4 linked regions of the Pelodiscus sinensis genome follow. The protein of the gene in region 1 purifies or fractionates together with the protein of each later gene. This does not show direct contact. Links are inferred from orthologs where the notes say so. Each region holds a gene or a part of one and is shown in the gene's direction. Other genes may lie near its edges. The genes, in order: STX8, VAMP3, VAMP7 and VTI1A.

Region 1 (7,888 bases):
TCTTCCCGGTGCAGCCTGTGATGCCAAGAGGCCGACCTGGCCACCTTAATCCCTTCCAGGACTGTGTGGGGCGAGGCGGGGTCCGGTGCATGGGGCACAGCAAGACCTAGCCACAAGGGCATGAGCACCAAGCAGCAGCCCGTGCTGAGATCAACAGGTGCTGCGGGGAGTCTGTACACACGGCGGCAGAAAATGCCTCTTGTCATTGCAGCTGAAATCCTGCCGTAATAGGCTTGTGCTAGGGCAATAAAACGTTTCTCTCCGTGGCCCCCAGTAGCTTCTGGAGCATCAATACCCACGGGAATAGCTGGCTGTATTTGCAGCATGAATCGTACAGGGAGAAAAGGTGCCCAGCAGATCTTGCATGATAAATCCCCCACAATCTTTTAGGGCTTTGTTCCTAGGTGACTAGTTTATTGGAAAGACATTGGCTCCAAGAGGGCCTGGAGAAACTGCTGTTGTACAGCGTAGACTCACTTAGCTTAGCCGAGTTCCCCCGCGTAGGCCCCCACAGCCAAAATATTTATGGTGTCAACATTCGGCTGGGTCCTGACTTCCTTATAGCCCAGCCCTGCCCTCCGCCTCCAGTGAAAACTCCCACGCTTTGCAGAACTGGAGGAGCACCCAGAGCGCCAGTTGTGGGGGGCAGGGGTCACAGAAGGAGGAGTACTCTCAGGGCATTTGGCTGTGGGAGCAGGGAGAGCCCACAGTCCACAAATGGCGCACTACCCGAGGGCTTTCCGGGGAGAAGCTGGGGGAAGGTACGGAGGGAAAACAGGTGTGTGTGGGGGGGGGGGGGCGGGGGGAGGGCAGGGGCCTGTCAGGTTTGCCAGCTCACAGAGCTGTCACTCAATAGGTGTTGCCCTTCTGCCGACTGTTGGTGGTACAGTGTTAAGAGGCTCTCCAGGTCTGGATGTCAAAATATTCCATTAATGGTAATTATCATAAGATCAGGAGTTCAGACAAGTGAAAACATGTTAGCTTGTTGCTCGTGCAACAGGATCAAGGTGGGAGAGGCTGGCTGAAGCCGAGGAGCCGAGTGTCTCTAACCTGAGCCCCTCCATTAGTAACACTCTTATTTGCTGGGTGCCCTCGGTGTTCTCAGCACAGTACAACACAGGGAGGAAGACACAATTCCGGGCCCAAGGAGCTTTGGGAGATCGGGTGCTTCTGTAAGTCGACAGACTTGCAGCGTGGCTGCAGCGTGCGCTGGGGTTGAGCACAAGGTTATCCCCTTATACCAGTGCTCCTTTGTGGGTGCCTGCGGGGGGCATGGTGGTGGGGAGTGCATTTTAAAAAGAAGCAAGAACATCCGAAGCTGCGCTGCAGCATGACCTCGCTGGTAATCTCAGCTCGCCCTTGTGCTCATGTGGCCCGCTGGGGAGTGCAGAAGTGCCTGGATAAGGGTAAATTATCGGAGCCAGCATTATTTAGTTAATAGTAACAAGAATAAGTCAATAACTTTTCCTGTGACACCTCTCACCGCAAAGCATGCCACATCGGGGCAGTGATACATTTAGGCTACGTCTACACTGGCAGCTTCTTGCACAAGAACTCTTTTGCGGAAGAGTTCTTGTGCAAAAACTCTTCCAGAAGAAAGCGTCTACACTGGCAAGTGCTTTTGCGCAAGAGCATCCATGCCAGTGTAGACGCTCTCTTGCGCAAGAAAGCTCCGATGACCATTTTAACCATAGGGCTTTCTTGCGCAAGAAATTCATGTTGCCTGTCTACACTGGCCTCTTGCACAAGAACAGTTGCACTAGAGGGCTTATTCCTGAGCGGGAGCATCACAGTTCTTGTGCAAGAAGCCCTGATTTTATACAGTAGAACATCAGTTTACTTGCACAAGAACACACGGCTAGTATAGACAGGCAGCAAGTTTTTGCGCAAGAGCAGCCACTTTGGCACAAGATCGCGTCAGTGTAGACACAGCCCCTATGTTACTGAATGGAGTCCTGGAACCCGGTTGTTGTTTGTCAATAAACAGTAATGCAACACAAGCAGTTAACACATGGCTGCTTACTCTCATGCAGAGTCGTAACTGGACTTTTCAATCAATAGTAATTTCAAGTGGGACTTAAGGAGGCAGAATGCAGTTACCCACAGCAGGGTGTAACGAGCAGGACAGAGTAAAACATCTCTTGCCTGTCAAAACGTCTCATGGGATCCTTAATGAGTCCAAGCAGTCAGATGGCTGGTTTTATAGCTCACCAGAAAATAAAGCAGCTGCAGCACCAGCCTGCAAACAGCATCTGGGGCATCTACTGCTGAATAGAAGAAAACCAGTCACTTTGGTGGTTCAGAGCAAACCCCATTTCCATTGCTTTTTGGTGGTGTAATGCCAGGCATGAATTTAGTCCCAGGAGTTTAGGTGCTCTGGGATGATCTGTGAGCAGGGCCCTTCTGGGATTTTGTATTAACCTGGCATTTGGGGCCAGTCAAAAGATAAATGAAATAGATTGATCATAAAATACTAGACGTCATTCTTAACCGGTAACATCTATCTCACGGACTCTGACCATGCCGCTGTAATGGCTAGGGGATTTCAGTAGTTCTTCAATTGGATGTAACTGTTTGTAAGTGGAGAACACAGCCTGATTTTCTCAGGTAGAAAGGCCTGTTTCACAGCTCTATGAATGCTGCATTCAGAACTTCCCACTACCACTATATTAGTCCTTGGGTTTTCTCCATATTATCATAATTGCAGTCAGAAGCCGCAAATCACATCAGGGCTCTCCTGTGCTTGTGTGCTGTACAAATACTTAGGAAGAGACAGGCTCTGCCTAAAAGTGCTTACAATCTAATGTAAAGTTGTGAACATTATACATCAGCCATACACATTTAAAAGCAACAATCACAGATACATTTCTCCCCCAGATCTTACAGCCAAGAGCAAGGTGAAAGGTGGCCTTTTACACAAAAGGGTCAAAGTTTGTTTGGAGTGTTTCCATTAAATTAAAAAAAACAAGTGGAAACAGTTTTATTAAACAAATAAACATTCTCGAGCAATGTTTGCAACACAAACACTGCTGCTTTGTGCAAGCACATTGTGCAAAGCCACCCCCTCTGTCGGTGACCAGGCAGAAGACCGTGTCCCTGCCTGTCGGACTTGGCCACTGTGCTTCTGTGGTGTCTAGTCTTGACCACTGTAGATCTTTGGATGGAGTCCTATGCCCTAGCAAAACTACAGCTAGCTCAGAATGCAAGTAGCTCACCTGCTTGCCAATGCGTGTTGCTGACTGTACATCTTCCTGCTGCGTATGCTGATTCCTCGCTCAGCACAGAGTCTACTTGAAGGTCTCCGGAGAGGGGGATCTGGCTGCCTAATAGAACAATTCTTCCTCTACAGCTCCGAGACTGTCAACCCCAAGTCTTCAACTATCATGAGTCAGTCCCCCACCCCCAAACTAATGAAAAGGTTGAAAAATATCTGAGTTTAAAAAAGGAATTTTTGTTTTGCCTTCTGGTTTTTGAGCCCATAGAAATCATCTTTGCAAGCTTTTGTCCTTGTTGCATTCAGAGCTAAATGCCAACCTCACCTCTTCAGTGAAGCCTTCCTCCCTCTCAGGCTTTTATATTTGAGTCCCCTCTTGCTCTTAAACATTTTAATCCTGCTTCTTACCAGCAGGGAAGGAAGAAATATTGTTACCAGTATTTTACTTTTGGTTGATACTCTGCTATTATGGGGAAAAGTGCCAATATAAGGCAGATATTTCAAGAGAACCGGCCAGTGATAAGGGCTAAAAAACAAATGTGAAATTAATTAGTATAGTTTCACTGTCCCAAACTGCTCTCATTTAACTGTTAGCGGGAGCACTAGGGCTAACTCCCGTACTGCAGGAGCACGTGAAAAATGAAGTGATCTCTAAGGGCTTGTCTACACTGGGAACTTTTTGCTACAAATTTAATCTCTTACTGCTCCCAGAGATTGGGGCAGTGGGTGGGACGAGCGTAGGCAAAACGTGCATTTTCAAAGCTCTGTGTTGGAGACCTGCTCTGAACAGAGCTGGATGATACAGTGCTCCAACCCCTGAGGCTGGATAGGGCTGTCCAGGCTAGTCCCTCCATTGCTACAACCAAAGGAGCAGAAAGGGTGAAGCATCAAAGAGAAAATCTAGTAGGCACTTGCCTGGGGCCTTATTAATGGATTTCAAAGTCACCGTATTATTTCAAACCAATTTCAAAAGCCAGCTCCACGGGAAACTACAGAACTTAATTTCAGTTCCAGGTTTGATTCCTACAACAGTCTCAACAAAGACATTGGCTGGATGGCCCGCTGTACTCCACATCCTAAGGACATACAAACAAACAAAGAGAGTACTTAGCACTTTTATCAGCTTCATTTAGCATGGACAGGCTAATTGATCATTTCTTTCCCTTTCCTCTCCCCCCCCATCTGCTCTCTGTGCTGTTTATTTGAAAACTGCACCCACCCCTTGAACTCCGTTCAGCTGAAGAAGCGGCTTGTGCCCCCGGAAGCTCACGATGCCCGTCTACGTGTTTGTGTTAGTCCCTAGGGCCCAGGAAAGCTCAGCACCCAACAAACCCCCTTGCTGGTCTCTATGGTGCTACCTGGTCCGGTTTGTTTTCTAACGTGTCCCCAGTTGGACCAAGGCGGCCTGGCCCGTTGTCTGTCTCCAGGGGCGCGTGTGCTGAGCGCCTGACACCGGCCCGCCCGCAGGGCGCTGTGCCTGGGGAGGGGGGGGGGGCACTGACCCCCCCGAGCCTGGGGACTTTGTGCGCTCCGGTCCCGGGGGGGGGGGTGAAGCACCAGCGCGAGCGCCCCAATGCTGGGGGGGGCTGAGCCTTAGGGGCTGGGGCGGCACCGCCGCGCCTCGCTCCGCCCCCCCCACCGGGCTGCCACCCGCGGGGGCGGGGCCTGGCCGGGTGTGGCTCCGCCCCCTGGGCAGGACCCGGATGTGCCCCCCCTCCCCCGCCGCGCTGAGCCTCTGCGCCTGCCGTAGGCAGCTGAGCCAGCCCGGAAGCGGCCGGCTCCAGAGCAGCCCCGGGCGCAGGGATGGCTCCGGACCCCTGGTGAGCGGCGGGGGCGGGGGGTTGTGGGGCCCGGACCCCCCCCGTTCGGGGCCCATTGCGGGGGGAGCCCCCCCGGCATGCGGGGCCCCCGCGGCCTCGGCTCCCGCTTCGCGCCTCAGGGCGGCGCGCCCGGGGGGAGGGGGCTCCTGCGGGCGGTGAACGGGGCCGCCCCGCCCCCGCCCCGTGTGCGCCGAGCCCGGGAGTCCCCCCCCCCCCGCCACTCCGCGTTGCTCGTCTCCGCCTCGCCGGTTCCGACCCGGGCCCGACCTGGGCAGACGCGCGCGGCTCCTGAAGGGGCGCCGGGTCCGGTACCGGCAGAGTCTGCGGGGAGCCCGGCACGTGACCGGACACGAGCCCGTTCCCCTCTGGCTGCCGCTGTCCGCAGGTACCGCACAGAACAGACAAACCCGCCCGCTCCTGCCCGTGGCTCCCCTCCCCAGGGGTGCGAACCGCGCAGAGCCCGCTCCTCCCCCGCACGCCCAGCCTGGTGTTGGATGGCCCCGAGGTGCGTGCCTTGAGGCAGGCATTTTGCAGCCTGTTCACTTGGACCCTGCGCTGCATCCTGGTCCTGGCTCCTTTCCCTTCTGCATCTGCGGACATGCTGATCGTGGCTGCACGGCCTCCTCTCCCCAAATGCTGGTGGGGTCTAGCACCTTGGCCTGGCTCTACGCAGGGATCTCCTGATGCACGGAGCAGGCATGGCCAGCTAGAGGGGTGTGCTGAGAACATACTACCCCAAGCAAACAGGAAGGAGACTTTACATTTTCAAAAAACCCTGCAAGGGCGTGTCCTGGCCGTCTGAGCAGGGCAGCAAAGTTCAAACATGACTAGAGAGGCCAGAACAGGCCTGGTGGGAAGGGTGCTGGGGACCAGTACTAACTACACAAGTACATCACCACTTAAATCCTGTGCTGAGAGGTACATTCACTGGTCCTGTGCTTTCATATCGTCCCTGTGATGGGCCCATTAGAAATCCCTGGGGAGATAGGGGTTGGGTGTCACTATAGTATGTTTGCATTTAGTAACTTGCTGAACTCTCTCTGAGGCTTGTAGCAGGCGTGTAATCCCCCTCTGTCCTGGGATCTGTAGTAATTCTGACTGTTTGACATGACACCACCTAGCCTGTGTGTAATCCTAGATTGTCGGAAGCACTCCTACCGGTATCTTGGTTTTGGTTTTAAGCAGGCCTGTTTCTTGCATCTGCTTTGTGTTTAGCTTTATCCTAATATTTCAAGGACTGAGTGGTTTTTTTGAGTGATAAACTCCCTAAACTGTGGGTGGGCAATAATTTTCTCAGTGGGGCCACACCATGAATTTTGGTAAGTTGTCACAGACCACATGTTTCTACTCTCTTAATGAAATTACCTCACCATCTATTGTTGAAAGACCCCATTATGCGCTTCATGCACCAGAGCAATTACACTTAGTTACCTGAATACACGTGTATCCAAAGCTTGTCTTACAGTTTGCAATATAAATTGCCTTCTAATAACACTAATGCTAAACTTTTACTTACAGCTTCTGTTCATTAGTAAAATTAAGTGTAAACGAAAAAAGGAAATTTTGTGAAGAAGAGAATCTCTAATGGGCATTAACAAGGGAGGTGAAGTCAGCTGTTATCCAGAGCAAGGTTGGGGGGATCCCGGAAGGGATGATGCCTTAGTAGGAAGGGTGGGGGTGCTAGCCTTCCCCAGCCAGTTCTTCAGTGCCTCCTGCCCTCTGGTGGCAATTTAAAGGGCCTGGTGCTCCAGCCCCTGCCATGGTAGCAGCCAAAGTAGTTTCTTCAATTGCCAAGAGTCAGGTGGGCTGGACAGAAATGTCAGACGGTCTATATTTTGCCCATCCCTGCCCTAAACCCTTGATTGAGAGAAGAGACTCAAACCAAGATTCTCGACACAGAGATGACTGGAGAGAATTATCTTAGCTATCTGAAAACATTCTGTTTACAGGCTGTCGATGTACGATTCCACCTGTTACATTGCACAAGAGATTGCTGAAAAAATCCAGGAACGTAACCGATGTCAAAGAAATGGTGAAAATTCAACTAAGGTATCCTATGTTCCTGAAAGAGCTAGTATTTGTAAACATCTCTTTTAATTTAGGTTTTCTAGTTAATTCTATCAAAATTGGGTACCTTTCTGGAAGAGAAGGCAATTCAGTATTTTTCACCCACTCAGTATACACCAAGTCCTGTCAAGATGTAAGCACATGCACAGTTTTACAGACTCAAAGGGGAAGTTAGCTTGTGGTTTATTTTGCGTTGTGTGTCGCTTCATTACCTATTCTTACTATTCTGTGTGTGTTAAATGTTAAGCAAATAAAGCGTTGGCATCCCAAAGAAATTGGCTGTGTCTAGACTGGCAAGTTTTTCCACAAAATCATCTGCTTTTGCGGAAAAACTTGCCAGCTGTCTACACTGGTCACTTGAATTTCCGCAAAAGCACTGACGATCTCATGTAAGATTGTCAGTGCTTTTGCAGAAATACTATGCTGCTCCCGTTTGGGCAAAAGTCTTTTCCGAAAAACTTTTGCGCAAAAGGGCCAGTGTAGACAGCAGAGATTTTTTTCCCGCAAAACAGCCCTGATCGTGAAAATGGCAATCGGGGCTTTTTTGCGGAAAAGCGCGTCTAGATTGGCCACAGACGCTTTTCCGCAGAAAGCGCTTTTGCGGAAAAGCGTCCTGCCAATCTAGACGCGCTTTTCCTAAAATGCTTTTAACGGAAAACTTTTCCATTAAAAGCATTTCTGGAAAATCATGCCAGTCTAGACGTAGCCATTGAGTCAAGCTGAGTGAATGCCTTTTACTCTCCTTTCCTTGCCGGCATCATACTGCACTGCTGTTTGCGATGAGAGC
Region 2 (7,859 bases), on another chromosome or scaffold:
CCCGCCCCCGCCTGTCCCCCCCCCGGGACACACAGACACCCGCCCCCGCCTGTCCCCCCCCAGGGACACACAGACACCCGCCCCGCTGTCCCCCCGGGACCCGCCAGTCCCCCGACCCCCGCCTGTCCCCCCAGGGACACACAGACACCCGCCCCCGCCTGTCCCCCCCCGGACACACAGACACCCGCCCCCGCCTGTCCCCCCCCCGGACACACAGACACCCGCCCCCGCCTGTCCCCCCCCCCGGGAAACACAGACACCCGCCCCCCGCCTGTCCCCCCCCCGGGACACACAGACACCCGCCCCCGCCTGTCCCCCCCCCGGGAAACACAGACACCCGCCCCCGCCTGTCCCCCCCCCGGGACACACAGACACCCGCCCCCGCCTGTCCCCCCCACGGACACACAGACACCCGCCCCCGCCTGTCCCCCCCCAGGGACACACAGACACCCGCCCCCGCCTGTCCCCCCCAGGGACACACAGACACCCGCCCCCGCCTGTCCCCCCCCAGGGACACACAGACACCCGCCCCCGCCTGTCCCCCCCCCAGGGACACACAGACACCCGCCCCCGCCTGTCCCCCCCCCAGGGACACACAGACACCCGCCCCCGCCTGTCCCCCCCCAGGGACACACAGACACCCGCCCCCGCCTGTCCCCCCCCGGGACACACAGACACCCGCCCCCGCCTGTCCCCCCCCAGGGACACACAGACACCCGCCCCCCGCCTGTCCCCCCCCAGGGACACACAGACACCCGCCCCCGCCTGTCCCCCCCCCAGGGACACACAGACACCCGCCCCCGCCTGTCCCCCCCCCGGACACACAGACACCCCGCCCCCGCCTGTCCCCCCCCCGGGACACACAGACACCCGCCCCGCCTGTCCCCCCCCGGGACACACAGACACCCGCCCCCGCCTGTCCCCCCCCCGGGACACACAGACACCCGCCCCCGCCTGTCCCCCCCCCGGGACACACAGACACCCGCCCCCGCCTGTCCCCCCCCCAGGGACACACAGACACCCGACCCCCCGCCTGTCCCCCCCCCCAGGGACACACAGACACCCGCCCCCGCCTGTCCCCCCCAGGACACACAGACACCCGCCCCCGCCTGTCCCCCCCCCCAGGGACACACAGACACCCGCCCCCGCCTGTCCCCCCCCCGGGACACACAGACACCCGCCCCCGCCTGTCCTCCCCCGGGACACACAGACACCCGCCCCCGCCTGTCCCCCCCCCAGGGACACACAGACACCCGCCCCCGCCTGTCCCCCCCCCCAGGGGACACAGACACCCGCCCCCGCCTGTCCCCCCCCGGGACACACAGACACCCGCCCCCGCCTGTCCCCCCCCGGACACACAGACACCCGCCCCCGCCTGTCCCCCCCCCGGGACACACAGACACCCGCCCCCGCCTGTCCCCCCCCGGACACACAGACACCCGCCCCCGCCTGTCTCCCCCCGGACACACAGACACCCGCCCCCGCCTGTCCCCCCCGGGACACACAGACACCCGCCCCCGCCTGTCCCCCCCGGACACACAGACACCCGCCCCCGCCTGTCCCCCCCCCGGACACACAGACACCCGCCCCCGCCTGTCTCCCCCGGACACACAGACACCCGCCCCCGCCTGTCCCCCCCCCGGGACACACAGACACCGCCCCCGCCTGTCCCCCCCCGGACACACAGACACCCGCCCCCGCCTGTCTCCCCCCGGACACACAGACACCCGCCCCCGCCTGTCCCCCCCGGGACACACAGACACCCGCCCCCGCCTGTCCCCCCCCGGACACACAGACACCCGCCCCCCGCCTGTCCCCCCCCGGACACACAGACACCCGCCCCCGCCTGTCCCCCCCCGGACACACAGACACCCGCCCCCGCCTGTCCCCCCCCGGACACACAGACACCCGCCCCCGCCTGTCCCCCCCCCGGACACACAGACACCCGCCCCCGCCTGTCCCCCCCGGGACACACAGACACCCGCCCCCGCCTGTTCCCCCCCCGGGACACACAGACACCCGCCCCCCGCCTGTTCCCCCCCCCGGGACACACAGACACCCGCCCCCGCCTGTCCCCCCCCGGACACACAGACACCCGCCCCCGCCTGTCCCCCCCCCGGGACACACAGACACCCGCCCCCGCCTGTCCCCCCCCAGGGACACACAGACACCCGCCCCCGCCTGTCCCCCCCCCGGACACACAGACACCCGCCCCCGCCTGTCCCCCCGGGACACACAGACACCCGCCCCCGCCTGTCCCCCCCCGGACACACAGACACCCGCCCCCGCCTGTCCCCCCCCGGGACACACAGACACCCGCCCCCGCCTGTCCCCCCCCGGACACACAGACACCCGCCCCCGCCTGTCCCCCCCCCGGGACACACAGACACCCGCCCCCGCCTGTTCCCCCCCCCAGGGACACACAGACACCCGCCCCCGCCTGTCCCCCCCCGGGACACACAGACACCCGCCCCCGCCTGTCCCCCCCGGACACACAGACACCCGCCCCCGCCTGTCCCCCCCCGGACACACAGACACCCGCCCCCGCCTGTCCCCCCCCGGGACACACAGACACCCGCCCCCGCCTGTCCCCCCCGGACACACAGACACCCGCCCCCGCCTGTCCCCCCCCGGACACACAGACACCCGCCCCCGCCTGTCTCCCCCCGGACACACAGACACCCGCCCCCGCCTGTCCCCCCCCGGGACACACAGACACCCGCCCCCGCCTGTCCCCCCCCGGACACACAGACACCCGCCCCCGCCTGTCCCCCCCCGGACACACAGACACCCGCCCCCGCCTGTCCCCCCCCGGACACACAGACACCCCGCCCCGCCTGTCTCCCCCCGGACACACAGACACCCGCCCCGCCTGTCCCCCCCGGACACACAGACACCCGCCCCCGCCTGTCCCCCCCCGGACACACAGACACCCGCCCCCGCCTGTTCCCCCCCCGGGACACACAGACACCCGCCCCCGCCTGTTCCCCCCCCCGGGACACACAGACACCCGCCCCCGCCTGTCCCCCCCCGGACACACAGACACCCGCCCCCGCCTGTCCCCCCCCCGGGACACACAGACACCCGCCCCCGCCTGTTCCCCCCCCCAGGGACACACAGACACCCGCCCCCGCCTGTTCCCCCCCCCAGGGACACACAGACACCCGCCCCCGCCTGTCCCCCCCCGGGACACACAGACACCCGCCCCCGCCTGTCCCCCCCGGACACACAGACACCCGCCCCCGCCTGTTCCCCCCCCCCCAGGACACACAGACACCCGCCCCCGCCTGTTCCCCCCCCCCCGGGACACACAGACACCCGCCCCCCGCCTGTTCCCCCCCCCCGGGACACACAGACACCCGCCCCCGCCTGTTCCCCCCCCCGGGACACACAGACACCCGCCCCCCGCCTGTTCCCCCCCCCCCGGGACACACAGACACCCGCCCCCGCCTGTTCCCCCCCCCGGGACACACAGACACCCGCCCCCGCCTGTCCCCCCCCCCGGGACACACAGACACCCGCCCCCCGCCTGTTCCCCCCCCCGGGACACACAGACACCCGCCCCCGCCTGTCCCCCCCCCGGGACACACAGACACCCGCCCCCGCCTGTCCCCCCCCCATGGACACACAGACACCCGCCCCCCGCCTGTCCCCCCCCCCGGGACACACAGACACCCGCCCCCGCCTGTTCCCCCCCCCGGGACACACAGACACCCGCCCCCGCCTGTTCCCCCCCCCCGGGACACACAGACACCCGCCCCCGCCTGTTCCCCCCCCCGGGACACACAGACACCCGCCCCCGCCTGTTCCCCCCCCCGGGGACACACAGACACCCGCCCCCGCCTGTCCTCCCTCCCGGGACACACAGACACCCGCCCCCACCTGTCCCCCCCCCCCCGGGGACACACAGACACCCGCCCCCGCCTGTCCCCCCCCCCCGGGGACACACAGACACCCGCCCCCGCCTGTTCCCCCCCCCGGGACACACAGACACCTGCCCCCGCCTGTCCCCCCCACCCCCCCCGGGACACACAGACACCCGCCCCCGCCTGTTCCCCCCCCCGGGACACACAGACACCCGCCCCCGCCTGTCCCCCCCCCCCCGGGGACACACAGACACCCGCCCCCGCCTGTCCCCCCCCCGGGACACACAGACACCCGCCCCCGCCTGTCCCCCCCCGGGACACACAGACACCCGCCCCCGCCTGTCCCCCCCCGGGACACACAGACACCCGCCCCCGCCTGTTCCCCCCCCCCAGGACACACAGACACCCGCCCCCGCCTGTTCCCCCCCCCGGGATACACAGACACCCGCCCCCCGCCTGTTCCCCCCCCCGGGACACACAGACACCCGCCCCCGCCTGTTCCCCCCCCCGGGACACACAGACACCCGCCCCCGCCTGTCCCCCCCCCCGGGACACACAGACACCCGCCCCCGCCTGTTCCCCCCCCCGGGACACACAGACACCCGCCCCCGCCTGTTCCCCCCCCCAGGGACACACAGACACCCGCCCCCGCCTGTCCCCCCCCCCGGGACACACAGACACCCGCCCCCGCCTGTCCCCCCCCCCCGGGGACACACAGACACCCGCCCCCGCCTGTCCCCCCCACCCCCCCCGGGGACACACAGACACCCGCCCCCGCCTGTTCCCCCCCCCCGGGACTCACAGACACCCGCCCCCGCCTGTCCCCCCCCGGACACACAGACACCCGCCCCCGCCTGTCCCCCCCCCCCCGGGGACACACAGACACCCGCCCCCGCCTGTCCCCCCCACCCCCCCCGGGACACACAGGAGCCCGAAGCCCCCGCCCCCTGCCCCTACAGTGCCCAAGGCAGCAGGCGCAGGCGCAGGCGCACGCGGCGAGCACGCGATGTTCGGGAGCAGTCGGTGGGCGGGGCTGGGGGCGGGGCGTGTCCGACCCCGCCCCCCCAACCGTCACATCCGGACCGCGCCCGCCTGCCCCGCGGCGGTTTCCGGTGCAGTGCTGTGTGTCGCCTCGCGCCGTTAGACTCCCCCGCAGAGGCTCGCGCCGCCGCCATGTGAGTGCGGGGCCCGGGGAGGGTGTGACGGGCCCTGCGGCCGCCCAGCTCTCGGCGGTTGCTGGGGGGCGTCTGGGGGGGGCCAGGCTCGGGCTACACGGGGGGGCGCGTCTGGGGGGGCGGCCAGGCTCGGGCTACACGGGGGGGGCCGCGTCTGGGGGGGGCCAGGCTCGGGCTACACGGGGGGGGGCGCGTCTGGGGGGGGCCAGGCTCGGGCTACACGGGGGGGGCCGCGTCTGGGGGGGGCCAGGCTCGGGCTACACGGGGGGGGGCGCGTCTGGGGGGGGCCAGGCTCGGGCTACACGGGAGAGGCGTGTCTGGGGGGGGCCAGGCTCGGGCTACATGGGGGGGCGTGTCTGGGGGGGGCCAGGCTCGGGCTACATGGGGGGGGGCGCGTCTGGGGGGGCGGCCAGGCTCGGGCTACATGGGGGGGGCGCGTCTGGGGGGGCGGCCAGGCTCGGGCTACATGGGGGGGGCGCGTCTGGGGGGGCGGCCAGGCTCGGGATACATGGGGGGGCGCGTGGGGGGGGCCAGGCTCGGGATACACGGGGGGGGCTGCGTCTGTGGGGGGCCAGGCTCGGGCTACATGGGGGGGGCGCGTCTGGGGGGGCGGCCAGGCTCGGGCTACACGGGGGGGGCGCGTCTGGGGGGGCGGCCAGGCTCGGGCTACATGGGGGGGGCGCGTCTGGGGGGGTGGCCAGGCTCGGGCTACATGGGGGGGCGCGTCTGGGGGGGGCCAGGCTCGGGCTACACGGGGGGGGCGCGTCTGGGGGGGGCCAGGCTCGGGCTACATGGGGGGGGCGCGTCTGGGGGGGGCCAGGCTCGGGCTACATGGGGGGGGCGCGTCTGGGGGGGGCCAGGCTCGGGCTACACGGTGCCTCATTTAGGTGGCTGCTCTTGGCCTGCAGCCAAGTGGACACGGGCAGGCTCCCTACTTGCCGGGCCCTTGTGGTCAGCTGCAAGGGCCACGGGCAGGTGGCCCCCACCACAGCCAGCCACTTTGAGCAACTTGGGTGGAGGCAGCGCACAGGGAGTCTGCCTGAAGCCCCTGCTAGTCCACAGCATGGTACTGGGTCGGATCTTGCAGTTTTCTGGGCCATATTTTGCCTGCCCCTGTATTAGGGTGACAGAAATTTAGATGGGATTGGTCCTGCCTAGAGCAGGGGGCTGGACTTGATGACCTTCTGAGGTCTCTTCCAGTTCTATGATAAGGGGTTGGTTTGAGAACATGATCTTGGTAACTAATTGACCATTCATTATCAGTGGGAATAGGCCAATGGAGGGATGATAGGAGTTACTCTAGAGAACTTTCTGGGTGTCTGGCTGGTGAGTCTTGCCCACATGCTCAGGCTTTAGCTGATCGCCATATTTGGGGTCGGGAAGGAATTTTCCTCTAGGGTAGATTGGCAGAGGCCCTGGAGGTTTTTCGCCTTCCTCTGTAGCATGGGGCACAGATAACAGCTGGAGGATTCTCTGCATCTTGGGGCCTTCAAAGTATTTGAAGGCTTCAATATCTGAGATCTAGGTGAGAGGATTATTCTGGGAGGGGTGGGTGAGATTCTGTGGCCTGCACTGTTCAGGGGATCAGACTAGATGATCATAATGGTCCCTTCTGACCTTAAAGTCTGAGTCAAAAAAGTCTTTATTTCTAGATAGTGTGCAGAGATGGTGTAAACTCTGGTTCTGCTTTGACTCCATGACTGATGGCTGTGAAATAAACAAAGGCATTCATCTGAGCCACTAGCTAGTGAGGGAGCCTTTTAAACAAAAGAAAGGTATAGCCTTTTGTTTCTTTGGCCTAGCTGGTTGAGGGAGAGGTATTGTGGGGATTTTTTGTTTTCTTTTGGTTTTGTGCTGTTTTCTTTTATGAATTAAACATGGTAATTTGGTGTTGTTTTTAAAATGTCACAGTGTGATGGAGTATCTTCTAAATTGGCCTCCGCAGGGTGTTTATAGTGACTTTGAGGATTCCTGTGGCACTTTGGAGACTAACAGACTTGTTAGGGCATAAGCTTTCATGGGTAAAACTCACTTCATCAGATGTATTGGAGTGGAATTTACTGAGGGAGGGGCTGTGTGTGTGTGTGTGTGTGTGTAGATATATGCACACACAATTTGCACACATACAACAAACGAGGGTACTTGTGTAAAATGAGGCTAATTGAGTCAGAGTGGGGTAGTGCTTTCCCTTATCAACTAATTGTGTTGAGCGTGACCAGGAACAGGTAACAGGAGAGTTTGGAGAGGGAGTTCTCCAGGTAAAAGAGGAGTAAAAACGGGACTCTTGTGGTAAGTGGCTGTCTGGAGTGTGTGTTTGTGTGGGGGGGAGTTTGCAGTGTGCTGAGCTTGTGTTTGTCTGTTTGGTTTGTTTGTTTGAAGGAGCTTCTAAAAGGTTTGAAATCTAGAAGCCTCTGTTAATTGGCCGAGCCTCAGGCAGGGGGAGGGACTACCAGAGCTATATAAGCCTGTGACTCAGCGACCAGGGAGAGCATGACCAGGAACAGGTAACAGGAGAGTTTGGAGAGGGAGTTTAGAGGGCACTAGTGACTTGTGTCCTTCTTTAAAACCTAACTCTTAGAATAATCTATACTCCAGAAGTTTAAAAAGAATCCCAGTTTATACTTAAACTTATTCATTACAAACATGGAGACAGAAGCCCAGCAGCAGAGTGGGGGCTATCCTGTTTATTGCGTCCAGTGTAACATGTACGATTACCTGCCCTGTGGGCAGGTGGCGTATGTGTGCAGCCATTGCAAGGAGCTCCTGACCCTCAGAGACCGAGTTCGGGCTTTGGAGGACAGGGTGGCTGAACTGGAGG
Region 3 (7,138 bases), on another chromosome or scaffold:
CATGCGAGAACCTGTTTCCATTTTAAAGTGAGGAGTAATGTCTCTAGCGCTAGAGGCAGTGGGAGACGTTTGAGAGCATAAGCCCCAAAGGCTCAAAGCCCAGAAAGCAAATAAAAAGAACCCACGTGCCCTGGGGGGGGCACACGCCAGGCACCAGCTTTGCACAGGTCTGGGCCGTTCTGCTCAGGGGCAGCCCCCAGCCCAGAGCCTGACCCGCCCCATCCGCAGGGCACAGGCCACGCGCCTTCCCTGCGGGCTGGACCCGGGCTGCGGGTCACCACGTGGCCACCAGCCTGAACCCCCCGGCGCGTCCCGCATCCAGCCGGGCAGCCCCGGCCCGGCCGCGACACTCACCAGCTCCAGCGCCGGCTTCCCCTGCGCCTCCTCGGCCATGGCTGCCTGGCGGGGGCCGGGCTCTGCTGGGGATTCTGGGACGGGTAGTCCTAGCCCGGCCGGCGGGCTTCGGGCATCCCCGCGCTGCCCGCTGGGAATCTCCGCTCCTGGGCATCTCGTGAGGCGGGTTTCCCGCGGGACAGCTCGTGCCCCGATAAACACGCGGGTCTCTACGGCAGCGCAGGGCTGCTCCTTGCGGTCTCGGTTTGTTCTAGTTCGTCATGCCCCAGCGCCAAGGGGTGTGTAATTGCCCGCCAATGTCAGCTTCCAGTGCCTCGCCCTCTCTTGAAGAGACGCTTGCAAATATGACCTGAGTGCAGCCAAAAGGTTCAAAATGTGTTAAAAGTAATGAATCAAGACCCCTCCCCCTAAAATCTTGAGATTGGCTGAAAAATCATGAAATTTCAAAATAATAAAGTTGGATTTCTTTTTGTTTGCTTTCTGGGGCTGGTACGTGTATGGGTCACAATTTAGAGCTCTTCTCTGCACCCAAAAGAGCCAAAAATTTACCTTTTTTTAACAAATGAAAGCTGAAATGTTCAGGAAAGAATCTGATTCCATAACCTGAGGTGCTAACATAGCCACCAAATATTGTGCCACTCACAGGAAAATTGCAAGGAGTGGTGATATTGAAAACCAGAAAAAAAGAGCTCCAAATGTGCTATTATAAATCTTCAAACCAAACCAAAAAAAGTGATTTTGTGAATTGAGTTTTTTAAATCAGTCTCATAATTTGGAGGGGCCTGGCTCAAGTTTGAACTCTTGGGGTTGGTAACACTGCTGCTGTCCCATGTTAATTCCACTCAGAGGCATTCATAGGAGCTAGCCAAGGTTTAGTATGACACTGGCTACTGGTGAGAGGTGCAGTGAGAGCAGGATTAGGAAATGAAGAGATGTAAAAATTACAGAGTAATTTACGTTTAAAGGACAGTACCTCACCAAGCTATGTTCTTGGCACCTAACTATGCATTTTCATCACTAGGGTATGTCTACACCAGCCACCCTAGTTCAAACTAGAGTGGCTAATGTAGTCATTTGTACTTGCAAATGAAGCCCGGGATTTAAATATCCCAGCTTTCATCTGCATGTTCCCGGGCGCCACCATTTTTAAATGCCCGGTAGTTGGTGTCATTGGTCCAACACAGTTCTCCATGTACCTTGTCATGATCCTGATTCTCATCCATGACTACCTTCCTGATGGCACCAGGATTGAGTATCATATGGATGGTCAACTCCTCAATCTCCAATATCTCCAAACACAATCTAAGATTAAAAGAAATGGCATCACTAATCAGTATGCAGGTGACTGTCATTCTTGCACACGCAGAAGCCAATCTGCAAAGCACTCTACATCTTTTTGCAGTTATCTATCACACCCTGGGTCTGTCTCTCTACATTGGGAAAACAAAGGTATCCCATCAGCCCTCCCCTGCACAAACTACTCTTCATACTCCACAAATCACCGTCAGCGGAGAACCTCTGGAAAATGTGGATCGTTTTCTGTACCTTGGCAGCCACCTCTTCCAAACAGCTGGTACTGACACAGAAATTGAATACAGGTTCTGCTGTGTCAGCACATCTTTTGGAAGACTACGCAAATTTAAATTAAATATGGGTAGGGGTTGGTTATCTACAAACAGGTAAGATCTTGGTTTACAAAGCAGTTTGTAGGAAACCTTGGTATTCTACAAACATCCCACATGACTGGAATGGTTCCAGCAGTGCTGCCTCAGGAACATTCTCAGATTCTGCTGAGAAGCCAAATGCACTAATGTCAGTGTTCTCTAGCCAACATCAGCAGCATAGAAACACGGGTCATGATATACTGGCCACTCTGAATACGCCTATCACTCACCTCCTCAAACCATAGTAATAGAGATGTAGCCGTATTAGTCTGGTCTTGCTGAAACAAAAGACAGGACTATGCAGCACTTGAAAGACTAACAGAATGGTTTATTAGGTGATGAGCTTTTGTGGGCCCACGAAAGCTCATCTCCTAATAAACCATCTTGTTAGTCTTTAAAGTGCTGCCTAGTCCTGTCTTTTGCTCCTGAAACAAGTATCCTTCTCTCAATTAAATTGAGGAAGAAGGGCTTATAGAGGGAAGCAGAAGCATTTCAAAGATATATTGAAAGTACATGTTAAAAAGGGATGCATTAACCCAACAAATTGAAATGACTCGGTGTGAAACACAGAACACCATGCACCAAGCCAAAGCTTGCTTTGGGAAGAACAGATGTACTCTTGAGAGAAAAGTGACAAAGGAAGAAAGAAAGGCCATGACAGCGCAGCCAACAGCTGTGTCTTCTCCACAGTTACACCTGTCACTTCTCCAAGGTTATACCAGGGAATGCTGCAGGCAGACATCATCCTTGCACAGAGGGCTAGTCAGAGAAAAAGATGAGCTGAGCATGACTGGTGCTGAAATATGGGGCAGATTCAGAAGAGGCGAACAGTGTCCTACTACACCTCTGGCAGACAGCATTGTGTGAGATGCTACAGTACCAGGGCTGCCCACCTCAAAACAAGAGGCTGTGAATCTCCATCACACTGTGCAGGCCTGTTCTCAGGGGCGAGGTAGAGCAGAAGGTCTGACAGACATTTGGGGAACATGCTGCTGCTTGCTGGCCAGTGCAGCGCAGGGAGCTGGAAGTGATGGGAGTCTGCATTGAACTCAGTTGTGACTGTGACTTTCAGTCTGGATTGAACTCAGCTGTGACTGTGACTTTCAGTCTGGATTGAACTCAGCTGTGACTGTGACTTTCAGTCTGCATTGAACTCAGTTGTGACTGTGACTTTCAGTCCGGATTGAACTCAGTTGTGACTGTGACTTTCAGTCTGCATTGAACTCAGTTGTGACTGTGACTTTCAGTCCGGATTGAACTCAGTTGTGACTGTGACTTTCAGTCTGCATTGAACTCAGTTGTGACTGTGACTTTCAGTCTGCATTGAACTCAGTTGTGACTGTGACTTTCAGTCCGGATTGAACTCAGTTGTGACTGTGACTTTCAGTCTGCATTGAACTCAGTTGTGACTGTGACTTTCAGTCTGGATTGAACTCAGCTGTGACTGTGACTTTCAGTCTGCATTGAACTCAGTTGTGACTGTGACTTTCAGTCCGGATTGAACTCAGTTGTGACTGTGACTTTCAGTCTGCATTGAACTCAGTTGTGACTGTGACTTTCAGTCCGGATTGAACTCAGTTGTGACTGTGACTTTCAGTCTGGATTGAACTCAGTTGTGACTGGGACTTTCAGTCCGGATTGAACTCAGTTGTGACTGTGACTTTCAGTCTGGATTGAACTCAGTTGTGACTGTGACTCAGTCTGGATTGAACTCAGTTGTGACTGTGACTTTCAGTCTGGATTGAACTCAGTTGTGACTGTGACTTTCAGTCTGGATTGAACTCAGTTGTGACTGTGACTCAGTCTGGATTGAACTCAGTTGTGACTGTGACTTTCAGTCTGGATTGAACTCAGTTGTGACTGTGACTTTCAGTCTGGATGCCCTGTGGCGCGTTATGGCCACAGGACAGTGACTTCGAATTGGAGTCTGGCTGCGATTGGCGGCTGCGGGTGAGTCTCCCCAGAAGGCGCGTGACAGCTCAACAGCTGGAGCAGCCATGCTCTCCGAGCTCGCCTCAGAACTACACTACCCAGCATGCAGAGCGGCAGGGGGGGGGGGCTTCCCAACGTACAGCGCGGCTCGGGCGAAGTGGCTCCGCCCCGCGCAAGTGACTACATTTCCCGTGAGGCTCGGCGGCCACGGGCGCGTCCTCGGCGGAAGTGCACGTGCTCGCGGAGCGGAGGCCGGGGCCAGCGATAGGAGGAGGCAGGTGAAGAGCGCGCGGGGCTGGAGACTCCCCCTGCCCGAGAGCGAGGCCGCGGCGCAGGTGAGAGGGGGCGGGGCGGGGTGGGGCGGGGGCAGGGTTGGTATGGGGGGGGTAGGAGGAAGCTGGACGAGGGGGGGCAGGGTTGGTATGGGGGGGTAGGAGGAAGCTGGACGAGGGGGGGCAGGGTTGGTATGGGGGGGTAGGAGGAAGCTGGATGAGGGGGGGCGGGGTTGGTATGGGGGGGTAGGAGGAAGCTGGATGAGGGGGGGCAGGGTTGGTATGGGGGGGCAGGAGGAAGCTGGATGAGGGGGGGCGGGGTTGGTATGGGGGGGTAGGAGGAAGCTGGATGAGGGGGGGCAGGGTTGGTATGGGGGGGTAGGAGGAAGCTGGATGAGGGGGGGCAGGGTTGGTATGGGGGGGTAGGAGGAAGCTGGATGAGGGGGGGCGGGGTTGGTATGGGGGGGTAGGAGGAAGCTGGATGAGGGGGGGCAGGGTTGGTATGGGGGGGTAGGAGGAAGCTGGATGAGGGGGGGCGGGGTTGGTATGGGGGGTAGGAGGAAGCTGGATGAGGGGGGGCAGGGGTGGTATGGGGGGGGTAGGAGGAAGCTGGACGAGGGGGGGCAGGGTTGGTATGGGGGGGTAGGAGGAAGCTGGATGAGGGGGGGCAGGGTTGGTATGGGGGGGTAGGAGGAAGCTGGACGAGGGGGGGCAGGGTTGGTATGGGGGGGTAGGAGGAAGCTGGACGAGGGGGGGCAGGGTTGGTATGGGGGGGTAGGAGGAAGCTGGATGAGGGGGGGCAGGGTTGGTATGGGGGGGTAGGAGGAAGCTGGATGAGGGGGGGCGGGGTTGGTATGGGGGGGGTAGGAGGAAGCTGGATGAGGGGGGGCAGGGTTGGTATGGGGGGGTAGGAGGAAGCTGGATGAGGTGGGGCAGGGTTGGTATGGGGGGGTAGGAGGAAGCTGGACGAGGGGGGGGCAGGGTTGGTATGGGGGGTAGGAGGAAGCTGGATGAGGGGGGGCAGGGTTGGTATGGGGGGGTAGGAGGAAGCTGGACGAGGGGGGGCGGGGTTGGTATGGGGGGGTAGGAGGAAGCTGGACGAGGGGGGGCGGGGTTGGTATGGGGGGGTAGGAGGAAGCTGGACGAGGGGGGGCAGGGTTGGTATGGGGGGGCAGGAGGAAGCTGGATGAGGGGGGCGGGGTTGGTATGGGGGGGTAGGAGGAAGCTGGACGAGGGGGGGCAGGGTTGGTATGGGGGGTAGGAGGAAGCTGGACGAGGGGGGGCAGGGTTGGTATGGGGGGGTAGGAGGAAGCTGGACGAGGGGGGGCAGGGTTGGTATGGGGGGGTAGGAGGAAGCTGGACGAGGGGGGGCAGGGTTGGTATGGGGGGGTAGGAGGAAGCTGGATGAGGGGGGGCAGGGGTGGTATGGGGGGGGGTAGGAGGAAGCTGGATGAGGTGGGGCAGGGTTGGTATGGGGGGGTAGGAGGAAGCTGAATGAGGTGGGGCAGGGTTGGTATGGGGGGGCAGGAGGAAGCTGGACGAGGGGGGGCAGGGGTGGTATGGGGGGGCAGGAGGAAGCTGGATGAGGGGGGCGGGGTTGGTATGGGGGGGTAGGAGGAAGCTGGACGAGGGGGGGCAGGGTTGGTATGGGGGGTAGGAGGAAGCTGGACGAGGGGGGGCAGGGTTGGTATGGGGGGGTAGGAGGAAGCTGGACGAGGGGGGGCAGGGTTGGTATGGGGGGTAGGAGGAAGCTGGATGAGGGGGGCGGGGTTGGTATGGGGGGGTAGGAGGAAGCTGGACGAGGGGGGGCAGGGTTGGTATGGGGGGTAGGAGGAAGCTGGACGAGGGGGGGCAGGGTTGGTATGGGGGGGTAGGAGGAAGCTGGACGAGGGGGGGCAGGGTTGGTATGGGGGGGTAGGAGGAAGCTGGACGAGGGGGGGCAGGGTTGGTATGGGGGGGTAGGAGGAAGCTGGACGAGGGGGGGCAGGGTTGGTATGGGGGGTAGGAGGAAGCTGGACGAGGGGGGGCAGGGTTGGTATGGGGGGGTAGGAGGAAGCTGGACGAGGGGGGGCAGGGTTGGTATGGGGGGGTAGGAGGAAGCTGGACGAGGGGGGGCAGGGTTGGTATGGGGGGGTAGGAGGAAGCTGGACGAGGGGGGGCAGGGTTGGTATGGGGGGGTAGGAGGAAGCTGGACGAGGGGGGGCAGGGTTGGTATGGGGGGGTAGGAGGAAGCTGGACGAGGGGGGGCAGGGTTGGTATGGGGGGGTAGGAGGAAGCTGGACGAGGTGGGGCAGGGTTGGTATGGGGGGGTAGGAGGAAGCTGGACGAGGGGGGGCAGGGTTGGTATGGGGGGGTAGGAGGAAGCTGGATGAGGTGGGGCAGGGTTGGTATGGGGGGGTAGGAGGAAGCTGGACGAGGTGGGGCAGGGTTGGTATGGGGGGGTAGGAGGAAGCTGGACGAGGGGGGGCGGGGTTGGTATGGGGGGGTAGGAGGAAGCTGGACGAGGTGGGGCGGGGTTGGTATGGGGGGGTAGGAGGAAGCTGGACGAGGTGGGGCGGGGTTGGTATGGGGGGGTAGGAGGAAGCTGGACGAGGGGGGGCAGGGTTGGTATGGGGGGGTAGGAGGAAGCTGGACGAGGGGGGGCAGGGTTGGTATGGGGGGTAGGAGGAAGCTGGATGAGGGCCGGGGGCAGGGGTGTTACTGGGGGTAGGAGGAAGCTGGATGAGGGGGGGCAGGGGTGGTATGGGGGGGCTAGGAGGAAGCTGGACGAGGGGGGGCAGGGGTGGTATGGGGGGGTAGGAGGAAGCTGGATGAGGGGGGGCAGGGTTGGTATGGGGGGTAGGAGGAAGCTGGACGAGGGGGGGCAGGGTTGGTATGGGGGGTAGGAGGAAGCTGGATGAGGGCCGGGGATAGGGG
Region 4 (8,000 bases), on another chromosome or scaffold:
TAAAGCTTCTAGAAAACCTGCACATACAAGTCACATCTCCCTCCTCCCCTTCATTTTTTTTTCTGATAACTAGTTTGAAATAATGGATCTAGTCTATTTTCTGCTGCTAGTTCCCTTACCTTACAAAAGCTCAGCATTTGCACTCAAGCTATGAACAAGTTCAGTATGCTATACTGATAGCCTAAATTCTTCAAATATGTGGTTATATGAAAGGTTAACTGTTAACAGAACAACATAGTTAAAGCAAATATTACATAACTTCTATCATCTCTTTCAAAATCAACAGTTCTTGGAAAAAACAGTAACTTGTAGATAGGAGTCTAATTTTACATTTTTAAAAAAGGAAGCATATACTGATGTATATACAAATTATAGTGCTGCTGTTCCTCAGTTTCAGATTCCTTACTTCTTGTAATGACACAATGATGGAGCAGAAATAAATCTATGAGAATGAAGTAACTTCCTTCTTCTACGTTCTCAAATGGTTTTCAGATCAGGCACTGCTGAACTAAACAAGAGAACTGTATATACATACTGTACAGCAGATCGCTAATAGGGATGTAAAAAGTCATTTAAAAATGTAACTCTAACTGCTAAAAATCCTAGTGGTTATAGGGTTACCCGCTCTGTGGACCCTGTAGCAAGCTTTATACTGCAGAGCCCGCAGCGAACCCTCCCTGGGAGTGGGGCTGGCAAGGACTGCCGGCCCTGCTCCTGGGGAGGCTTTTCTGTAGGATCTGAAGTATACAGCAAATCTGGTTCCTGGACCTCCTCCTAGCGAGGTTTTGCAGCTGCAACAAAGCTGGCTCCCCAAGAGTGGGGCAAGCAACTCCTGCTGGCCTGTTCTCAGGGAGCCAGTGTTTAACCTGAAGTGAGGCCAGGCCAGGCCTGCCATGGAGAGGGGCTGCTTCAGCCGGCTGGCCAGAGCAGTCCCTGTCTGTGGTGAGCCCTGCTAGACTGGAGCAGCCCCCTACCCACAGTAGCCCAGCTGCTACAGGTTAACCATTTACACCTCCAACAACTAGAAGTGTTTGTGCATCTTTTCACACCATATTCTCTTCCAGTGAAGCTATTTGCGGTTTAACAAAACTATTTAAACTCAAAACAAAGCAACTGAAAGATTTATCAAGTGCCAGTTCACAGTCACTTAGAAAGTTTATACTATAGGTTTATTATGCTGAACCAGGAGGCTTTTGGATATGCTTACAATAAGTTCAGTTCTTGCTTCCTAAAAAGATGTCACAAGCTTCCAGCCCAAGATTTCCATTTACTTTTTATCCAGGTATAAAAATGGAAGAATTGGGCCTTTGTTGAAATCAACATTCTTTATCTAAAAAGTAGAGGTGTGAGTTTGAGGTGGTCAACCAAGAGATGGATATTTACTAAGTGCTTTTGTCTTCCCACCTCACTACACAGATAATTTATTATTTAAAACATTCTTAGGGGGAACTACTATTCAGAATTTTAAAAATAAGCATATCTAAAGATAATGGTTTTAAGCCCATATGCTCTCTATTGTCAAAACAGTAAGGGAAATCCATTTCCTCCTTCAAGCAATGTAGTCCAATATTGGAAATTAGCATAGTGTTTTGAACATGGAATTACCTGCACAGTGCAATACACCAAATAAATAATAATAATCCACCATTAAAAAATAAGTTGCTTTAAGACCAGGAAAAAAAAGGAACACAAAGAAAACTGTACCTGTTACATTTTCGGCAGTGGTGTGAACGTGGTGCTTTGTATGACTGGCACACTTTACAGTACTGGAGATACATGCAGTCCTGAGATTTTTCCTTTAAGCACAAGAAGATGCATATGAGAAACAACACAATTCCAATAGCAGAGTAAGCACTAGCCTAAGTGTAGTAGCCTAAGCAATTTTATAATGCTTTTGTGCTTTGCTTTGTCTGGGTGTGATTTATCTTCACCCTTTTTAAATGGCAGAAAGGCGTAGGAGAGAAATCAGCAAAACTTCTAGCTACTATTCCAATTAACTCTTTTTAATTGCGGGGCCTTACAAAAGAAATACATTTCCATCTGAAAAATTTAGGCCCTCAGCCTGAAAGTTACTCTGCACAAGCAGCCCCTGTACAGGTCAACCTTTGTGGAATAACTGGCAGGGTTGACTCCTTAGAAATTTGCTTCTATTTATGCATCTATTTTTCTCTTTCTTCTCTCAGCCTTGGACCTAATTGTACTCCAGAGGAAGTTAAAGCAGCCTTAGGGCTGCTCTAATTTATGCCAACAGGCTATGGCCCTTAAAGATATTTGATGTTACCAGTGATCAAGAACACAAAGATTTCTAGCCAACCTCCTTGTCAACCCAATATGCTCTCTACAGCAGTAGGAGGGGCCAGAAGACTGGGGTGGCATACAGTCAGTGATTTCCCTGTTTAAAGTGGAATGCCCAGCTACCCTTAGGACAGCCTTAGGTTCCCTCCCTCATCTTTCTATTGCAAAGCACTGTAAAGCCAGAACCATTACCATCCCACTGGCATACTGGTGAAAAAGATTCTGGCCGACTGCTTTCAAATGTACTGCTGCTCTTCCATTGTGTGTGAATACTTTTTGAATTAGCTCGAGGAGATTGTTAAAACTGACAGCGCAAGAAATGCAACCTCCTACGCTTACAAAAGTGTTGAGAAATGGCCCATGGAGCTGCATCCAGCCCTCTTGATGTATCCATATGGCCCACACGACATTCATATTTGCCAGAACCTTTTTTTTTTTTTTAAATTAAAGCTTGGCTTACTAGTGCTCACAACGGTATATAATTTTGCAAATGGGAACCAAGTGTAATAGATACAGTGACATCTGTGTGCATGCACAAACAGCCTGAAACAATGGCTCAAAGGGGAGAATACCACCATTCTCTATTAATCTGATTGGAGTACCAACAATAAACCACCACCACCACCACCGAGTCAACATTAATTATTTAACCACTGTTCATTTTAGTGGATGAAATGGGGACAAAAGGCAGAAGTGACACACAATGGATTGGAAACTGGGAGTTGATGGAGGGAAGGAAATTCAGAGCTAAGAACACAGAAGAGGACAAAAACAGAAAGGCTGATGGTGAAGGAAGAGGAACAAGAGGCAGAGCTAGTGGATGCCCAAAGGATAGATTTTCTCATTGAGCTTTATGAAAAGAAAGCACTGAACAAACAATAACCAAATATTTAATTACTACATAAAACCATATTCTCCTCCTTGTACAAACCTTCTACTGACATCAAAGGACGTATTTTGACAAGTATACGGATCTTGAACCAACCCACTGACCATACTGCAACAGAATCCAGCCCTTTCCTTCTAATGAGTTTGACATCCTGGTTTACGACATGCTACTTTCACAGAATTACTTAAACTGTACTGACAAAGCAAGCGAGGTTTGAATATAATTTCTGAATTACTGAACTATTAACAAAGATCAATATTAAGATTTCATCATGAAAATTAACTATTAGTGAAAGTTTACTGTATTTCCTTACTGGTTTCCATCCTAAAGGAACATATCCAGGGCCAATAAACATGGCATTGAAGTAATTGTAAAGAATCATGACAGTCCAGTTTATGAGCATGATGAAATTTACACTTCCTCCCGTCGTGTCCAAAGGCCAATACCACAGAACAGCATCTATCATAGCCATAGTAGAACATATTGCTATCACACCGAGGGCTATGATGGGGCCCCAGTGACAAAGTCTCTTCAGTTCCTGGAGATTCTCAAACTTGATAACTGAACACAGTGCACCCATTTTGAAGAAGAGTACTTGTCCTACTTCAAATAGTATTCAATGTTCCTAATTTTCCTATTTTTGATTACAGTTTTCCATTTGTCATAAGTTTTCATCTTCAATAATGGTCATCCCTACAAATACCAGATAGTTAATTGTGATCAAGACATTTCTAATGTTTGGAAGAGTCATCAGTTGTAGGAGCAATTCACATCCATCTCAGGAGGACAACTTGGTTCTATCCTCGACCTAGAAACACAAAAACAGGAGAATTTCTAAATCAAGGAAAACAAAACAGGCTCTGTAAGTCAACTGCAATAAAAGAGTTCAATGCACAGTCCAGGAAGTTGTGTTGTCACTTAAACTAGGTTCTTGTGAAATGATTCGTTTCACACTGCTTGGCTTGTATTCTGATATTAATAAAAACAGACCTAGATCCTTGCATAGGTGCCTTTTTATACTTTTTTTTAAACGAAATAAAACAGTGCAGAAATATCAGTTAAAAATCATGAAAGACCACATCAGGAGAACTGGAAATTCTTGCTAAAACCGCATGGCAGGGTTCTTAACTCAGTCCCTGTACAACAGGAGGCCAGCAGCCGGCTGACAGTATTTCCACTGTGGGAAAGCGCTCTTGGAAGAGCCAGAGAGGCTCTGCGACTATATGCAGCGGCGGCAGCAGCCGAAACGAGGAGGTGGCCCCTCCCCACGCCCTGAGAGTTTTACTCTCGTCAGGTCAGGCTACCGGGAGAAGACATCGAGCCCCGGTCCCGGTCCCACAGTCAGTGTCTGCTCGGCCCCCACCCCTAGCGCATGGGGCCCCTGCAGCCTCCTGCCTGGGCTCCCCTCCCGCGCGCCAGCAGGGCAGCGCTCTGAGCCCGGCCCGGGCAGGAGTCCCACTAGGGCCTGGCCTCGCCTCCCCACCGCTCCCCCTGCAGCGGCCCCTCCCCCACCGCCTTGGATCCCCCTGGGACCTCCCCACCAGGCTCCAGATTCAGCCTTCCCCTCCCCCCCCCCGCTCACCTCAGCCCGTGTAGCCGCCCTTCCGCCAGGCCCCTCCCCAGCTCACCTCAGCCCCTCCGACATCCCCGGCCGAGCCATGCCCCGCGGCGCGCCCCTCTGCCAGCACTTCCGGGAGGCGCGCGCCTGTGACCCGGAAACAAACGCGTCTCTTCCGCCCTCGCTTCATGTTTGTCCGGGCCTGGCGGTTTCTCTCAGAAGTGGGTCCCCCCGGAAACCTGCTGCCGGGGGTTGAATCGGCGCCGCTCGTGGGGGCGCGTATCCCCCCCCACCAGGGGAGTTTTAGCGGACAGACACTGGGCGGAGGTGGCGAACGGGCCCTGGGCTAGGGCGGGACTCGGCTCTTCCTAGTCACCGGAGGCTCCTGCGCAGGGCCCGGAGGGCAGCGCGAGGGAGTGAGGGGGGGAGAGGAGGGAAGATCTGGGCGGCTTGGAGCTCTCAAGGGACGGCGGCAGAACCGAGTCCCGGCCGGAACCATCGGCGGCGGCTGCCGATTCCGAGGGGGAGGCTTTTGGCTGCGACACAACGCGGAAGCCTCTTGGCCGAGAGCAGCTGAGCCCGGCTTGTGGTCCCCGGCCGCCACCATGTCCTCCGACTTCGAGGGCTACGAGCAGGACTTCGCGGTGCTGACAGCGGAGGTCACGGGCCGGATCGGGAAGGTGCCCAAGCTGCTGGGCGGTGCGTGCGGGGGCTGCGAGCCGCGGGGCGGGGGGTAAAATCCGTCACGTGGCTAATTGGACAAACCTCTCGGTTCGTCTCCTAAGCGGTTAACGGGCGAGAAGCCGCCTCCCCGGCTCACGTCTGCTCTGCCCCCCCCCCCCCCGGCTGCAGGTGGGGAGCTGCTCCTGCCTGGACCTGTTCTCCCTACCTGGTGATCTCCACTTGTTAAGAGTGGGGCTTACTGGTTAATAGTCACATCCCTGGGGGGGGAGCAGGGGAAGGCTGGGGGGGGGGGGTGCTGGGGTCGGAGATAGGGGGGGGCTGGTGCAGGGGTTTGGAGCGGGTGCTGAGGTGAGGAGCAAAGGAGGGCTGGTGCCGAGACAGAGATGTTGGCCTCCACTGAGAAGAGGAAGGGGAGGGGCCCTGCTTAGGTGCTACTTTCAGTGCCAGGGCGAGTGTGCTGGACATCTTGGTATCTAGAGGTTGTTGAGATGGTCTGGAGGGGGGTGATATACGAATCACTTTCTACCACTAGCTAGCTGGGGGTTCATACTAGGCCCCACTTCAGTCTTGCTTTGGAGTGTCCTGTCCTCCTTTCCACCTCATGCCAGCTAATAAGGTGGAGATACAGGTGAAACATCTTCAGTGGGTGGAAGTCTGAGCAGCAGCAGATGTTCTGGAACGCAGTCTGTAGGGGTCAGGAAGTGAACAGTAGCTCATTTTGCTCTCAATTCACAAGTGGGAAGGTATTTCCATAACCATGGACACATGCATTTTTTTAAGGCTAGCAGAGACCATTGAGGGCCCTGTTATTTCATCTTCTCTGTAACAAAGTGTAACTTTATTCTTGATATAGAATGTTTTGTTCAACAAGACTTTGCTCGGTGTTTGTACAGCATCTAGCACAATAGGATCCTAATCTGTGAAGTGATGCTATCACAGTACAAGAAGTTGATTTGATTTTTTCTAATTTTCTAACTAATTGGAGGATGATTGGAGAAATACATTAGGAAATAAAAGCTGATGACTTCATCTTTTTTGTTAAAGTTCCTTGGTGTTTAAGAATTCTGTCCCTCTTAGGGTGTGAATCAAGAATATACAAGTGATAGTCTGACTGCTTGAGATAAAAGACACTATCCCCTGACTAATAATGCTTTTCTAGAACTCTAGCATATAGGTGCTAAAACCATTACATATTCTCAACACTGTCTGTTGTCTGAGTTCTAATACATCTCCCCTGGCATGCTGCGTATTTGTAGGCAAACAATCTCTTGACCTCTTTCTCAGTTTTCTTTGGGTGTGCTTTTTTCTGAATTGAGAGAGGGAATCTTGCTTGCCTTCTTCATGTGGGCGTTTGTGAGGATTAATTATTTCAAGACTTGAAAAATATATTTGCTAGTTGTGAGAGCAGTGGGGGCTGAATCTGTCATTTTTTTTTTTGCCAGATTCAACTTTGATTTAAAATCCATTTTATAAAAGAATTGTTGAATCTGTGAAGACCTGTGCTACATATAAACTGGTTCAGCATTATTTTCCTGAGAACTGCAGACAGCTCTCTTATCATTGTGATGTCTTTGCAGGGCTATGGTGGTGATAGGTACATCATAAGAATTGGAGAAAACAGAGTAAGATGGGAGTAAAATACAATTAAAAACATATCGTCTTAAGCAAGTATAAACCTGAACACATTCATGGGGCAGATTTCTTCTTTAGTCACTTCTCAGGGTAAAACTACACTCTAAAATGACTTAATTTTCATATTCTTTCTATTTGAACAATTGACATTTATTCCCAGAAGATTAATGTATTTCTCTAGCCATTCTCCAATGACATTACAAAAATCAAAGCAAGTTGTTCTAAACTTCAATTTTCTTGGTGAAATATTACTGTTTACAATCTAAAATTAAGGATAGAAGATTAACATAGAAAACTTTTAAGATTTAGGGCTTTTGTTGGTAAACCATAATTAAGAAGTTGCAGAGCAAGCTTGTTGAAAGCCATGTGCTACCGATATTTATAATGGAGACCATTTTACACGGTTTCTGGATTAATAATCAGAAACTGCTAATTTCTTACTAATTTTCCTGTTAAGATGAGATGACCATAATCTAGTATACTTACATTCTTTTGACATCACTTGCACTGTCCATGTAAATGTCTTGTATGCATTGTGAGATCCTTATTACTGTGCTGATTGTGTGTGCACAGAAGTGAGATACCGTTGACTTTTATCTGCATATGGTTAGCAGTGGAGGCGATAGACATCTTGTCAGTTTCATTTTCAAACTGAACTTCCAAAAACATTCTTTTTTTTTTTTTTCAAACTGCTGTTAGGCAGCATGGAGAAAGCATTGCTGAGAGGGATGATTCTGACCATTGTTAATACAAACAGGGTGCTCCAGATATATTGACAATTGTTCAGGTGGCTTTGGAGGAGATGTCGCCATAGGAACCATCATGATGCTGTCTGGATGCCGATGGAAGAATAAAACATTGAAACCTGGCAATTATATCTACGAGACATTTTCCTGAATTGGCTTCACTCATTAGAGCACCACTTCTGGACTCAGCCTGCAC

Evidence for each region.
Region 2: the proteins of STX8 (region 1) and VAMP3 purify together in Homo sapiens (co-immunoprecipitation; 3 studies listed by BioGRID and IntAct, with this or other methods). This does not show direct contact. The link is inferred for Pelodiscus sinensis from reciprocal best matches to the Homo sapiens genes STX8 and VAMP3.
Region 3: the proteins of STX8 (region 1) and VAMP7 purify together in Homo sapiens (affinity purification with western blotting; 3 studies listed by BioGRID and IntAct, with this or other methods). This does not show direct contact. The link is inferred for Pelodiscus sinensis from reciprocal best matches to the Homo sapiens genes STX8 and VAMP7.
Region 4: the proteins of STX8 (region 1) and VTI1A purify together in Homo sapiens (affinity purification with mass spectrometry; 3 studies listed by BioGRID and IntAct, with this or other methods). This does not show direct contact. The link is inferred for Pelodiscus sinensis from reciprocal best matches to the Homo sapiens genes STX8 and VTI1A.

The regions. Positions count from the first base shown.
Region 1 is NC_134730.1:2,580,649-2,588,536, reverse strand, and holds the start of STX8 (syntaxin-8), read left to right. Parts: upstream 1-4,885; 5' UTR 4,886-4,917; coding exon of another isoform or gene 4,918-5,017; coding exon 5,018-5,034; intron 5,035-5,296; exon of another isoform or gene 5,297-5,419; intron 5,420-6,983; coding exon 6,984-7,083; intron 7,084-7,888. UniProt on the Homo sapiens protein: Vesicle trafficking protein that functions in the early secretory pathway, possibly by mediating retrograde transport from cis-Golgi membranes to the ER.
Region 2 is NC_134733.1:25,559,003-25,566,861, forward strand, and holds the start of VAMP3 (vesicle-associated membrane protein 3), read left to right. Parts: upstream 1-4,848; 5' UTR 4,849-5,039; coding exon 5,040-5,041; intron 5,042-7,859. UniProt on the Homo sapiens protein: SNARE involved in vesicular transport from the late endosomes to the trans-Golgi network.
Region 3 is NC_134723.1:279,405-286,542, reverse strand, and holds the start of VAMP7 (vesicle-associated membrane protein 7), read left to right. Parts: upstream 1-4,126; 5' UTR 4,127-4,285; intron 4,286-7,138. Other genes in the region: DNA-directed RNA polymerases I and III subunit RPAC2-like, read right to left, coding at 355-393. UniProt on the Homo sapiens protein: Involved in the targeting and/or fusion of transport vesicles to their target membrane during transport of proteins from the early endosome to the lysosome. Required for heterotypic fusion of late endosomes with lysosomes and homotypic lysosomal fusion.
Region 4 is NC_134718.1:65,668,057-65,676,056, reverse strand, and holds the start of VTI1A (vesicle transport through interaction with t-SNAREs homolog 1A), read left to right. Parts: upstream 1-4,998; 5' UTR 4,999-5,347; coding exon 5,348-5,441; intron 5,442-8,000. Other genes in the region: palmitoyltransferase ZDHHC6, read right to left, coding at 1,705-1,796, 3,498-3,764. UniProt on the Homo sapiens protein: V-SNARE that mediates vesicle transport pathways through interactions with t-SNAREs on the target membrane. These interactions are proposed to mediate aspects of the specificity of vesicle trafficking and to promote fusion of the lipid bilayers.